Elephas maximus indicus: one gene and its partners. The protein of the gene in region 2 purifies or fractionates together with the protein of the main gene of each other region. This does not show direct contact. Links are inferred from orthologs where the notes say so. Each region holds a gene or a part of one and is shown on either strand. Other genes may lie near its edges.

Evidence for each region.
Region 1: the proteins of ADRM1 (region 2) and PSMB1 fractionate together in Homo sapiens (co-fractionation; 3 studies listed by BioGRID, with this or other methods). This does not show direct contact. The link is inferred for Elephas maximus indicus from reciprocal best matches to the Homo sapiens genes ADRM1 and PSMB1.
Region 3: the proteins of ADRM1 (region 2) and PSME1 purify together in Homo sapiens (affinity purification with western blotting; 3 studies listed by BioGRID, with this or other methods). This does not show direct contact. The link is inferred for Elephas maximus indicus from reciprocal best matches to the Homo sapiens genes ADRM1 and PSME1.

What each region holds. Positions count from the first base shown.
Region 1 is NC_064819.1:243,763,093-243,766,835, reverse strand, and holds the start of PSMB1 (proteasome subunit beta type-1), read left to right. Parts: upstream 1-994; 5' UTR 995-1,052; coding exon 1,053-1,165; intron 1,166-3,743. UniProt on the Homo sapiens protein: Non-catalytic component of the 20S core proteasome complex involved in the proteolytic degradation of most intracellular proteins. This complex plays numerous essential roles within the cell by associating with different regulatory particles.
Region 2 is NC_064843.1:5,654,723-5,658,465, forward strand, and holds the start of ADRM1 (proteasomal ubiquitin receptor ADRM1), read right to left. Parts: upstream 2,732-3,743; 5' UTR 2,648-2,731; intron 1,440-2,647; 5' UTR 1,439-1,439; coding exon 1,226-1,438; intron 527-1,225; coding exon 410-526; intron 1-409. UniProt on the Homo sapiens protein: Component of the 26S proteasome, a multiprotein complex involved in the ATP-dependent degradation of ubiquitinated proteins.
Region 3 is NC_064828.1:35,494,868-35,498,610, reverse strand, and holds the start of PSME1 (proteasome activator complex subunit 1), read right to left. Parts: upstream 2,729-3,743; 5' UTR 2,612-2,728; coding exon 2,573-2,611; intron 1,964-2,572; coding exon 1,931-1,963; intron 1,781-1,930; coding exon 1,718-1,780; intron 1,604-1,717; coding exon 1,493-1,603; intron 1,415-1,492; coding exon 1,369-1,414; intron 1,242-1,368; coding exon 1,144-1,241; intron 921-1,143; coding exon 852-920; intron 766-851; coding exon 698-765; intron 587-697; coding exon 532-586; intron 455-531; coding exon 368-454; intron 185-367; coding exon 104-184; 3' UTR 1-103. UniProt on the Homo sapiens protein: Implicated in immunoproteasome assembly and required for efficient antigen processing. The PA28 activator complex enhances the generation of class I binding peptides by altering the cleavage pattern of the proteasome.

The DNA of each region.
Region 1 (3,743 bases), on a different chromosome or scaffold from region 2:
GACATTAGTTATGACATCCTTCATTCCATGACCTTTTCTGAATCTGGCTTGAATTTCTGGAAGTTCCCTGTCAACCATTTTTGAATTATCTTCAGCATAATTTTACTTGCATGTGATATTAATGATAAACCAAAACATGTTGCCATCAAGTGGATTATGATCCTACAAGGTAGAGTAGAACTGCCCCATAGGGTATCCATGGTTGTAATCTCTACTGAAGCTGACTGCCACGTCTTTCCTCCAAGGAGCAGCTGGTGGGTTCCAACTGCTGACCTTTCGGTTAGTAGCCCAGCGCTTTAATCATGGCGCCACCAGGGCTTCTGATATTAATCATATTGTTTGATGATTTCCGCATTCCGTTGGATCACTTCTCTTCGGAATGGAAATGTATATGGATTTCTTCCAGCCAGAAAAATGCGCGCATCTGTGTTGAAGTACAGCCAGCGTGCTCCTCTAGAAGGGAGAAGGGTGAGACTTCATCTCATTACGCTTTTTGGATAGTGGTCAGGAGGATCAGTCCTAGAGAAGGACATCATGCTTGGTAAGGTAGAAGGCCAGCTAAAAAGACCCTTAATGAGATGGACTGACACAGTGGCTGCAAAAATGGGCTCAAAGCTAACAACGATCATGAGGATGGTGCATGACCGGGCTCTTTCTTTCTGTTGTACATAGGGTCGCTATAAGTCCGAACCGACTTGATTTGCACCTAACAACAACCAAGAGTGTACTCGAGTTTCTGTCGTTCCACGTGTTTGCTAGTTTTTTTGGTATGGTCAGACTTTTTAAATTTTGTCCACCTGGAGTGAATTCGAGCGGTTTCTTAAGAAAACCCTGACACCTATGTGGGCTTTCTGTAACACCTGGCGCCACTACCAAAAAGCCAGGGGCGCTGGCTTCCGGGAGCAACGAAGAGCGTGGGGCAGAGAGGCCCGCCGCGCGCCGGAGACCGGAAGCGGATCCGTTTCCTGTCGGCAGCGAGTGCAGAGCAGAGCGGCCCGCTTCCGGTCGGAGCCGCCATATTGCTGTGAGACAGCAGTCGCAGGCGCTGCGCGATGTTGTCCTCCGCTGCTGTGTTTCCTGCGCTCGGCCGCGACCTGGGAATGGAGACTTTCGGCGCCGCGGGGCCCTTGCAGCTGCGCTTTTCGCCCTACGCCTTCAACGGAGGGTAACGCCCTGGGAGCGCGCGCTCCCTTCCGCCGTCGTTTCCCTCGCTACCGCAGCGCCTCTGGGGTCGCGGGTGTGAGGGCGCCAACTCCCTGCGTGCCCTTCCCGCCGCTGCTGGGATTCGCTCCGGCTTGGGCGCACGGCCTGGGTTTCCCTGACGGCCCGGCCTCCGCACGCGGTCCCGCCTCACTTCCCTGACGGCCCGGCGTCTGCACGCAAGGCCGCCTCACTTCCCTGACGGCCCGGCCTCCACACGCAGTGCCGCTTCACTTCCCTGACGGCCCGGCCTGCGCACTCAAGGCCGCCTCGCTTCCCTAACGGCCCGGTCCGCACGCAAGGCCGCCTCACTTCCCTGACGGCCCGGCCTCCGCACGCAGGGCCGCCTCACTTCCCTGACGGCCCGGCTTCCACACGCAGGGCCGCCTCATTTCCCTGACGGCCCGTCCTCCACACGCAGGGCCGCCTCATTTCCCTGACGGCCCGGCCTCCACAGGCAAGGCCGCCTCACTTCCCTGACGGCCCGGCCTCCGCACGCAGTGCCGCTTCACTTCCCTGACGGCCCGGCCTGCGCACTCAAGGCCGCCTCGCTTCCCTAACGGCCCGGTCCGCACGCAAGGCCGCCTCACTTCCCTGACGGCCCGGCCTCCGCACGCAGGGCCGCCTCACTTCCCTGACGGCCCGGCTTCCACACGCAGGGCCGCCTCATTTCCCTGACGGCCCGTCCTCCACACGCAGGGCCGCCTCATTTCCCTGACGGCCCGGCCTCCACAGGCAAGGCCGCCTCACTTCCCTGACGGCCCGGCCTCCGCACGCAGTCCCGCTTCACTTCCCTGACGGCCCGGCTTCCACACGCAGGGCCGCCTCATTTCCCTGACGGCCCGGCCTCCACACGCAAGGCCGCCTCACTTCCCTGACGGCGCGGCCTCCACACGCAGGGCCGCCTCACTTCCCTGACGGCCCGGACTCCACAGGCAAGGCCGCCTCACTTCCCTGACGGCCCGGACTCCGCACGCAGTCCCGCTTCACTTCCCTGACGGCCCGGCCTCCACACGCAAGGCCGCCTCATTTCCCTGACGGCCCGGCCTCCACACTCAAGGCCGCCTCACTTCCCTGACGGCCCGGCCTCCACACGCAGGGCCGCCTCACTTCCCTGACGGCCCGGCCTCCACACTCAAGGCCGCCTCACTTCCCTGACGGCCCGGCCTCCACACGCAAGGCCGCCTCACTTCCCTGACGGCTCGGCCTCTGCACGCAGTCCCGCTTCACTTCCCTGACGGCCCGGCTTCCACACGCAAGGCCGCCTCATTCCCTGACGGCCCGGCCTCCACAGGCAAGGCCACCTCATTTCCCTGGCGACCCGGCCTCCGCACGCAGGGACGCTTTCACGCACAGCCTGTTCCGCAGCGAGAGTCGGGAGGGTAGAGGTTGACATCCATCCTCCGGCCTGGGAATGCCTTCGGAATGCGCCTTAGGGCCTCGCGGGTCTGAGCGGTTCACCGGCTAGAGGCCGAGGGGACAGGCTTGTCGGAAACAGCGCAGTGGTCGGCGGCCCCGGTGGCTGGGCGCCCAGTAATGGCTGTAGATGCAACACTTCCCAAAAAGTGGCTTCGTCATTTTCTGTTACTTTAAATTGAAGCTGGGATTGATCAGAATTACTTTTGTAAATTAGTGTGTCTTTCTCTTTGCTTTTAAATGTTTATCTTAAATAGAAAAAAGCTCAGAAGAGGGACTTTTTAATGGGATATATTCAAGGTGGGTTTTTTTTTTTTTTAAACTAGCGCCTTTTTAGTAACACTTTTGCCTGATACTACACTGAAAGAATCAGGATTGTGGAGCTATAAATTGAAGCAGTGGTTATGGTTTACCAACCAAATTTTGTACAAACACAATTTGAACAAACAAATAATTCTTTGAGAAAACCAAAAGTAGAAATCAGCTCCATATGAATTTCAAATATTGTTGCGAAATTTTTGAGTGTGCTGGCAAGAGTGAAAGACTATGATTTTTGCCCTGGTTCTGCCCGTACATGGCACCTTTCTCAGCTTCTTGAACCCACGTTTCCTTGTCTGCCTTAGCCACTTCATGCATTTCTGGGAGAATTAAATGAGAAGCATTTGGTAAGTTGGCAAGCAGTTCTTGTTTAATCCTTATAGTAACCAAGCGATGAATGATATTAGCCCCGTTTTTACAAACAAACCCAGGGCTCTTAGAAGTCATGAAGCTGGAGTGAGATTGAGGCAGGGCTTGAATTCATCTCTGTCACAGCTGAGTTTGTATGTTCTTGCACTTCTTAACGCTTCCTGTTGTGATTGTTAAATTGTAAGGCAGCCTTTAGACCCATTTCATAGAACAGTTATAAATTCTGTATGATAGGGTTTTCAAGGTGGTCAGTATTCAGAACTCATTTCTCACTTTCTAAACTCTTGTAACCCAGCTTAAGTCATTACTGCTCTAAAAGTTAATTTCTTACAATTTTCTGATTATTATTTTTTTCTAAATCTTTGTTCTTTATTGTCTATTGCTGCTGACTCTCAAAACTCCACTCTTTGCTTCTACAAAATAATGCTTACTTTTTTACT
Region 2 (3,743 bases):
CACAGCCTCCACCTGTTTTTGTAAATAACATTTTATCGACACACAGCCATGCCCACTCATTCACGAGCTGGCCTTGGCAGCTTTGAAGCTGCTGCAGCAAAGCTGAGCAGTCGTGACAGAAACCACGGGGTCCACAGGGTGGGAAGCACTTCCTTCCTAGTCCTTCCCAGGAACAGCTGATGCCTTGCTCTAGTGCCTGGGGGGAGGGGGAGGTCAGCCTCCGGGGGGGCCGTGGGGGTCTGTGTCAAAACCACAAACACGCATATACAACAAGCAAGTCCGCTTCTAGACTTTTAACAGGAAGATGGCGCACAGGAACAGCCTATACAAGGTTACCCTTGAGCCAAATTCCCAATCTACCTCATGATGCTGAGAACAGGCAGTACAGGAAGCAGGGCCTCCCACCTACCTGCATCCAGAAGAAGAGCCGCTTGGATCCTGCCTTAAACTTGAGCACGTAGACCCTCCCACTGGGGCACTGAGGCACCCGCTTAAATTCACAGTCGTCGGGGAAGATAATCAAGTCCTACAGAGGAACACGAGGGGAGGCAAGAGCAAGCTTAACACAAGCAAACCTTCAAGGCTCCCGACTGCTCGAGAAGACACGGCAGAGCCTGTGTGTCAGAGTGTGAGACAGATCAGTTGCCAGAGCCCCTCACTATCGGAGTCTCCACAGGGACGGGGTCTCCACAGGGAAGAGGAGCCAGCCTCCGACGCCCACTGTGAGGGCGGACCCTCAGGTGAGGGCTGGGGGGCAGGGCAGGCACTCACAGCAGGGGCTCAGGTGGGTTCAAAGGGTACTTTACAGTTCTGCCCCATGTCATCACCTTTCAAAAGCTTGTTGTTTTTTATAAAATAAATGGTGATTTTCAAATATTTTCAGTATCACCACCATTTAGTTTTGTAGACAGTTAGAAGGTCAGCTCTGATCCACTCTCAGACGTAACAAAGATCAATCCATCGCGGACAGCAAAGAACGCAGAGTGACAAGCACTAGCAGACAAAGCTTCCTCGAGAATCTAACAGAGGAAAGACCTCCACTTCACACCTGATGGCTAAAGTACAAGCAGTGATGACCTACGACCCTGCAAGACTGGGACGCTCCAGAAGCAAGTGAAACGGCTGATGGCGGACACCAACCCAGCAACCCCATGCAAAAACCAAGCCCCAAAGACCACCCCAGCCACCCGCCGGCAGCCGTGGCGTCCAGGTGGCGGACACTCACGTCCTCCACGCTGCCCGACGTCCTGTCCTTCCAGCAGAAGTGAATGAGGGAGTCGTCGGTCTGCTGAATGTACACCAACCCCTTCCGCTTGTCCGGGGTGACCGTCGTTCCTTTCAGGGACATTTTTCCTGCCCGAAACTCCACCAAATACTTGTTGGAGGAGCCGCGGGAGCCTGGCACCAGGCTTGGAAAGAGAGCGCCTGAAGTCGTCATCCTGAAAAAGGAGAGGTGGCACTTAGACCCCACGTGTGCCAACGTGGTGTACTGCCAAAACTCTCCATTTCCTCTGCAAACATTGCTGCTTGCACGGATGGGGACAAAAGCCCCCAGGGTGCGCCGTGCCCCCACACCAGGGTTGGTCCCACTCCAGCTCCACCCGCCCTCCCAGGATCAATGCTGAGCTTCTTTTCATGTTTCCCAAAGAGCAAAACCGAAGTGCACGGACACCCGTCACCCCAGAGTGCATGGGCCCTGTGGGCGGCACTCTCTTACAAACTCTTGTTGGTTTTTCGTTCTGAGAGCCATAGAACTCAAAACACTTGAGCTGAGGTGGCCTCATACTAACCCCTCAGCCCCAGGACAGGCCATGGGCACAGTGACCTCGCCTTTCTGCTTTAACACAGCAACGCTGCAAGTATGACCCTTAAAAAAGAGAAGCTGGCCACTGGGCTGGAGAACACGCAGCCCCTAACTTGGCTATTTCATGGAGTGGTGCCCCAGATCTTCTCACAAAGGCAGAATTGAAGGCAGCAGCTCATGGTTGTCCCACCTCTGCGCTTGGGTAAAGAGGAACCCCGATTTCACCAAAAGCCTGTGGCTTCTGAACTTAGCGAATGAGGGCTGGGGGTGGTGGGGATCCCTGGGAAACCCCACCCTGGGGCCTAAGGAAGTGCTGGGCTCGGAGGAGCAGAAAAGGCAGCAGCCAGGACCCCCCTCCCCCCAGAACCCCCACCCGAGGGCTCCTAGCCTAAGGACCCCCTCCACACACACTTCTCCCTCGCCCCCCCGCCCCCCATCCCTGGACCACCGCCCCCAGAGGCCCCAGCCAAGGACCCCTTCCCCTCACACCCTCCTCCCTCGCACCCCTGCCCTCACCCCCAGGACCCCCTCCCCTCACATCCTCCTCCCTCGCACCTCTGCTCGCACCCACAGGATCTCCTCCCCTCACATCCTCCTCCCTCGCACCCCTTCCCTCACCCCCAGGACCCCCTCCCCTCGCACCCCTTCCCTCACCCCCAGGACCCCTGCTCCACGGACCCCCGACCCGGCTCCCCCTCCCCCGCAGGACCCTCTCAGGCCTAAGGTCCCTCCCGCGGGGTCGCAAGCTGCGCCGCCCCCGCCCCTCTGGGCCGGTCCCTGCCCCTCCGAGCCGGTCCCCACACCACGGGCAGCACCCCGCCCCCCGGCCGCCCCCGGGGGCACCTGGCTGCGCCGACGCTAGGCCGAGAAGCGATGCCCGAGCTCGCTCTTCCTCCTCCGCGGCGGCCGGGCCCCGCCGGAAGCCCGCACTCGCCCCGCCTGACCCGCTGCGCCGCCTGCCGATTGGTCCTGCGCGGGCTCGCGGCCCGCCCCTCGCCGCGAGCGACTGGCCCGAGTGGCCGCCCATCGCTCGGCCCCGCCCCGTGCAGGCTGCCGCGGCGCGCAGGAAGCGGGCGGCGGGGGCCAGAGAGGCCGCTATTGTTGCTGTGTCATAGGGGGCGGCGGCGGCCCCTGGCGGCGGCGCCGGGAACCGCAGGCCGGGCTGCGGGGGCCCGTGTCCCAGCCAACAGCGTCACCTCTGGCGACGCCGCGACCCCTGCGTGCCACTGGCCCGCGGGGCACGGGCGCACTTAAGGGGCAGGCAGGGTTCGGCGCGGGGTCGCGACCAGGGCCCTAAACACGGCCGACCGCATCAGTGCTAGGCATCGTACCACCGTGCAGGGCTTCGGCTGCACCCACGCCCTGCAGGTGTTTCGACGGGCAGGAGCCTCGGCTGGGCCCACGCCCCGCAGGTGTTCGGAGGGTCAGGGGCCTCGGCTGCGCCCACGTCCCGCAGGTGTGGGAGGGGCAGGGCCCTGGTCCACAGGCTGTTGGCGCTCAGGCCAGCAGGCCGACCGTCCATCCAGGATGCCCCCTGTGTACACAGAGCAATGACCTGGGAGCCCTGATCAGGCCTCTAAGATTCCTGATTCAGTGCTGCAAGATGCCGAGGCCAAAGATAGAAAGTCACAAAGTTAAAAAGGTAGGAGTCTTGTGACACTGGAGCTGGGAAAATGTCAGCTCCGTGTTACTTTGAGTTAATTTGACATAAAAGCAAAGGCAACGAGGGAACACCTGGGAGCAGGAGCCTGCTGATGAACAAACCGATCAGTTTGCTGGGATTTGCTTAAAGCTGCCTGAAGCAGGGGTTCTGAGAGTATGGTCCCGGAGCCCCCTTTTCTGTAATAGCCTGGGATGTAGTCTGCCTTTCTCACTCCAGTCTCCCCAGAGAGCACGATGGAGTTTGCAGATGCTACAAACATGTGCCCAGGAACAGGCT
Region 3 (3,743 bases), on a different chromosome or scaffold from region 2:
AGAGAAACCTCAACAGGAGAAAAATGGGGGGAAAGTCTGGAGTCCCCGATAAAAGGCAGGAGGGTCTCTGTTGCACTCATCACAAAAATGAGAGCAGAGGCCCTCAATAAATCATCCCCTTTGTTTCTCCCCTGGGCTTCTTGAGTTTTTCGAAGTTCTTCAGGATGATGTCATATAGCACTGCCTACAGGGCCAGGGAGGAGTGGGGGGTCAGCTGTAGGTGCCAGTCGCTCTGTGCCCCATTTCCAGCCTTGTGAAGAGGCCACGCTTTGTCACCCTTTACCCCCAGCCTGCAGGGTCTGGGAGCGGGTGGCCTGGGAAAGCTGCCTCTGCCCACCCCTGCCCTGCGCTGCCCTCGCCTCCTCACGTAAGCATTGCGGATCTCCATGATCCTCAGACGGATGTCCCGGTACTCCGCCTCATCCAGCTCATGCACCAGCTGCCGATAATCACCCTGAGGGAGACTTGGGGTCAGCCTGACTTCATCCAAGTGTGTCCATCCCCCCGTATATCCCGACCTGTGCTACCTACCACATGGGGTTGCTTGGCTGCTTTGGTTACTGCATCACCCCGCTCAGAGAAATACCTGTGGGAAGTGGAAGAAGTGTGTAGAGTGGGAGAAGGTGGCATGAGCCCTGGCCTCTGTCCCCAATCCAAAGCAGAGTATGCGTGTGGGTGTGGGTGGGTGATCACTTACTTGGAGATTTGGGTGTGGAAGCCTTCCAGCTTGGTGTGAAGGGTGGTCATCAGCTCAAACACCTTTTCCTGGAGAAAGCAAGCAAGAGGATAAAGTAGAAGGAAATATAGACTGGAGGGGAAGGAAAGGCAGGGACATGGGGCAGCATGCTCACCTGGACAGCCACTCCAAAGTTGTTCCCATCCTCAATCCGTGGTATCTGCAGCTGCAACCAGGTGGTGACCTGGGACAAGGGAATGGCATCTAAGTCACAGCAGTCCCCCACCCAATTCCCACAAGGTGGGTGGAGGTGTGATAGGTTCATCCTGAGCCCCAGGGCCTGGACTTCTGGCTTCACTTGCTATGCTGTTCCTGCTAAGACCTAGTAGTGTCATGCCCTAACTGGGAAGAACCAAGGAGGACAAAGGGTTCAACCTAAAGCCTGAGGTGGGAGTGGGAGGGCTCACCAGGTTGAGCTGCTCAATGACGTCTTTGATCTCTGGCTTCAGGCGCTGCAAGAGGGCCACGATCTTCTCATTGCAGCTCACTGGGCCACAGGGAGGACCTGGGGAGTAGGCAATGGGTCAGTAACATATCTGGGCCTGTGTGAGGGGGACAGGGGAGGGATCCTTAGCAAGAAGCTCTTGGGGAGTGGGACTCAAGTCCCTTCCCACCATCGTTGTTTCAAGTACCTTTGTCTTCATCTTCCCCTTTTTTCTTTTCATCCTTGTCTTCCTTCTGCAGCGAGAGAGGGGCTCATGAGAGTCAGGCCTAAGGTTGATTTTCCCCATGATCAGGTCCCTCTCCCCAGCTTGCCTCCTGCTGTTTCTTCCGCTCCTCCTTCTCTTTCTCCTTGACTGGGTCAGGCACTGGTATGTCCAATGGAGCCTTCAGATTGCTCAGGTTGGCTTCATTGAGAGCTGGCTCCTGGTGCAGGGTGAGAAGAGGGCTGTAGGCAAGGGTGTCCTCACTTCCTCTTTCTGACCCCCCCCCACTCTCCCCTTGGCCCCTATTCTCTAGCCCCTTGCCCAGCCCCAGTACCTTTAGAAATGCATCCAACTCAGAAATCTTCTTGGGGAAATAGCTCCCAAGCAGGTTCTCTGTCTGTGTGTGAGGTGGGAGTGGGGGAAGGCAGAGGTCAGAATCAAAGGCCCACCTGGCCAGTGATGCAGAGCCACTGCTGCCCAGCAAGAGAGGGAGGGCTGAGCGGTGGGAGTTGGGGACCAGTGGGGGTACAGATGGGGCAGGTCTTACCTTGGCACACAGGTCTTCCCGGAACACATTCACCTGTGGGGCATAGGCAACCTTTCAGAAACCTGGCTATAAGGCCAATTCATTTGAGAGCAGTTCCTTTAGGATTGCATCGGGCCTGGAGCTGGGGAAGGGTGGGGGTGGACCCGGGTGGTGGAGGAGTGGATTCCCGTGGGGCTCAATTAGGGGGGTGAGAGCATTCCTGGCAGAGAAGAGTGGGTGGTTCATGTAGGAACAGATCCCTCGGGTTGCCTGGGTCACCCTGAAGAGGACATGTATGAGAGCCCCCTGCGACTGGGGCAGGAATGAGCACCCTGTGGGATGGGACTTGGGGACCTGATGAGAAGGCCACGAGGTAGCAGGGGCAGGTCCCGCACCCCATCTGTGTGTGGCCCCGGCCCCGGGCCAGCGGATTTCCCCTCTACGCCAGCTCTCCGCTTCACCTCACCCCACTGAACCACGGTCGCCTCGTCTCTTCCCGCAGGCAGGCCTGGAGGATCTCCCGTGGGCTCAGGTGCTCCGGGTGCGTGGCCTCGGTCGACTGACCTTCACTCGTGTCGGGGGCTGGAGGCTAGTTAGGGTTGCCCTCAGCCTCTTTGAGCCACGCCTCCCTAAAGGGCCCTTCCTTTAACCTGCTGCGCTCACCTTGGCTTGGGCTTCAGGCTGGACCCTGAGTGTGGTCATGGCTGGGGAGGGGGCCTTACGCCGCGCGTGGAGCGAGGAGTGGGCACGGGGAAGGGAAAGTGAAAGCAGCTCTCAGCCCGCACCGCCTTCCTGGGTAGTGGAGGTACTGAAGGAGGCGGGGCCGACCACAGAGGACAGGGGCGGGGGAGGAGAGGAAGGCAGCGGAGGCGCTGCTCCCATTACAGCCGGAGAGAAGCCTCCACAACCCTCCTTTGCCCGGCCCGCCTTCCAGTCCCCAGGCCCCGCCTTCCCGCCCCCGGCCCCGCCTCCCTGCACCGGCCCTCCTCCTCTCGTCCCCGCCCCGCCCCTCCCACCTCCCCTCCTCCCGGGCCTACTCCCTCCCCTTCTTTCTTTCGACTCCCCGCTGTCTAGCTTCCACCCTCCCCGCCGCCCGGCGCTCTACTTCCCGCCTCCTCGCCCCGCCTTCACCATATCCTCGCTTCCGCACAGCTCGTCTCTCTACCTCCTCCCTCTTGACGCCCCGCCTCTTGCCTCCTGCCTCCTCGCCTCCTCATTCCCGCCTTCCAGCTTCTGATTTCCCTGACCCCTGGCTCCTGAGACCCCCGCCGGCTCTTTTCATCCCCTGTTCGACCTGGGACAGTGATAAGCCTTACTTGGGCCCCTTCCACATCTTTTCTGAGTTGAAGCAAGACCTGGTCTGCTTTTATCCCGGCCAACGTGGACCCTTGGCTCCCTCGACCATGCGGCGACCCTTAGACTCTGGCGCCATCCGGATGTAAGCTTTCATCAGTTCTCACCCGGACCAGTGTTATATCTGCATTCCTTTGTAACCCACTCTCCACACAGCAGCGGTATCATGTCCCTCACTTGCTTAAAACCATTTCACAATCTCCTGTTGACCTTAGAATGAAATCCAAAAGGCTCCATTCTAAGCCCCTGCGTGGCAGCTGCAACCTGTGTCCCGTCCAACTTCACTTTCTGCTGCTTTTCCCCTCATTCATTACACTTGCAAATACCTGCACTTGCCATTTGCTTTTCAAGAGTGTCTTGTTCATTTCTAACTGCAAGGTCTTTGCTCTTGCTGCCCTTTGCTGAAACTCCCTCCTGCTGGTTCGTGTTGTCATTCAGTTGGCCGCCTCCTCAAAGAGAACTCTGTCGATCACTCTTTGTA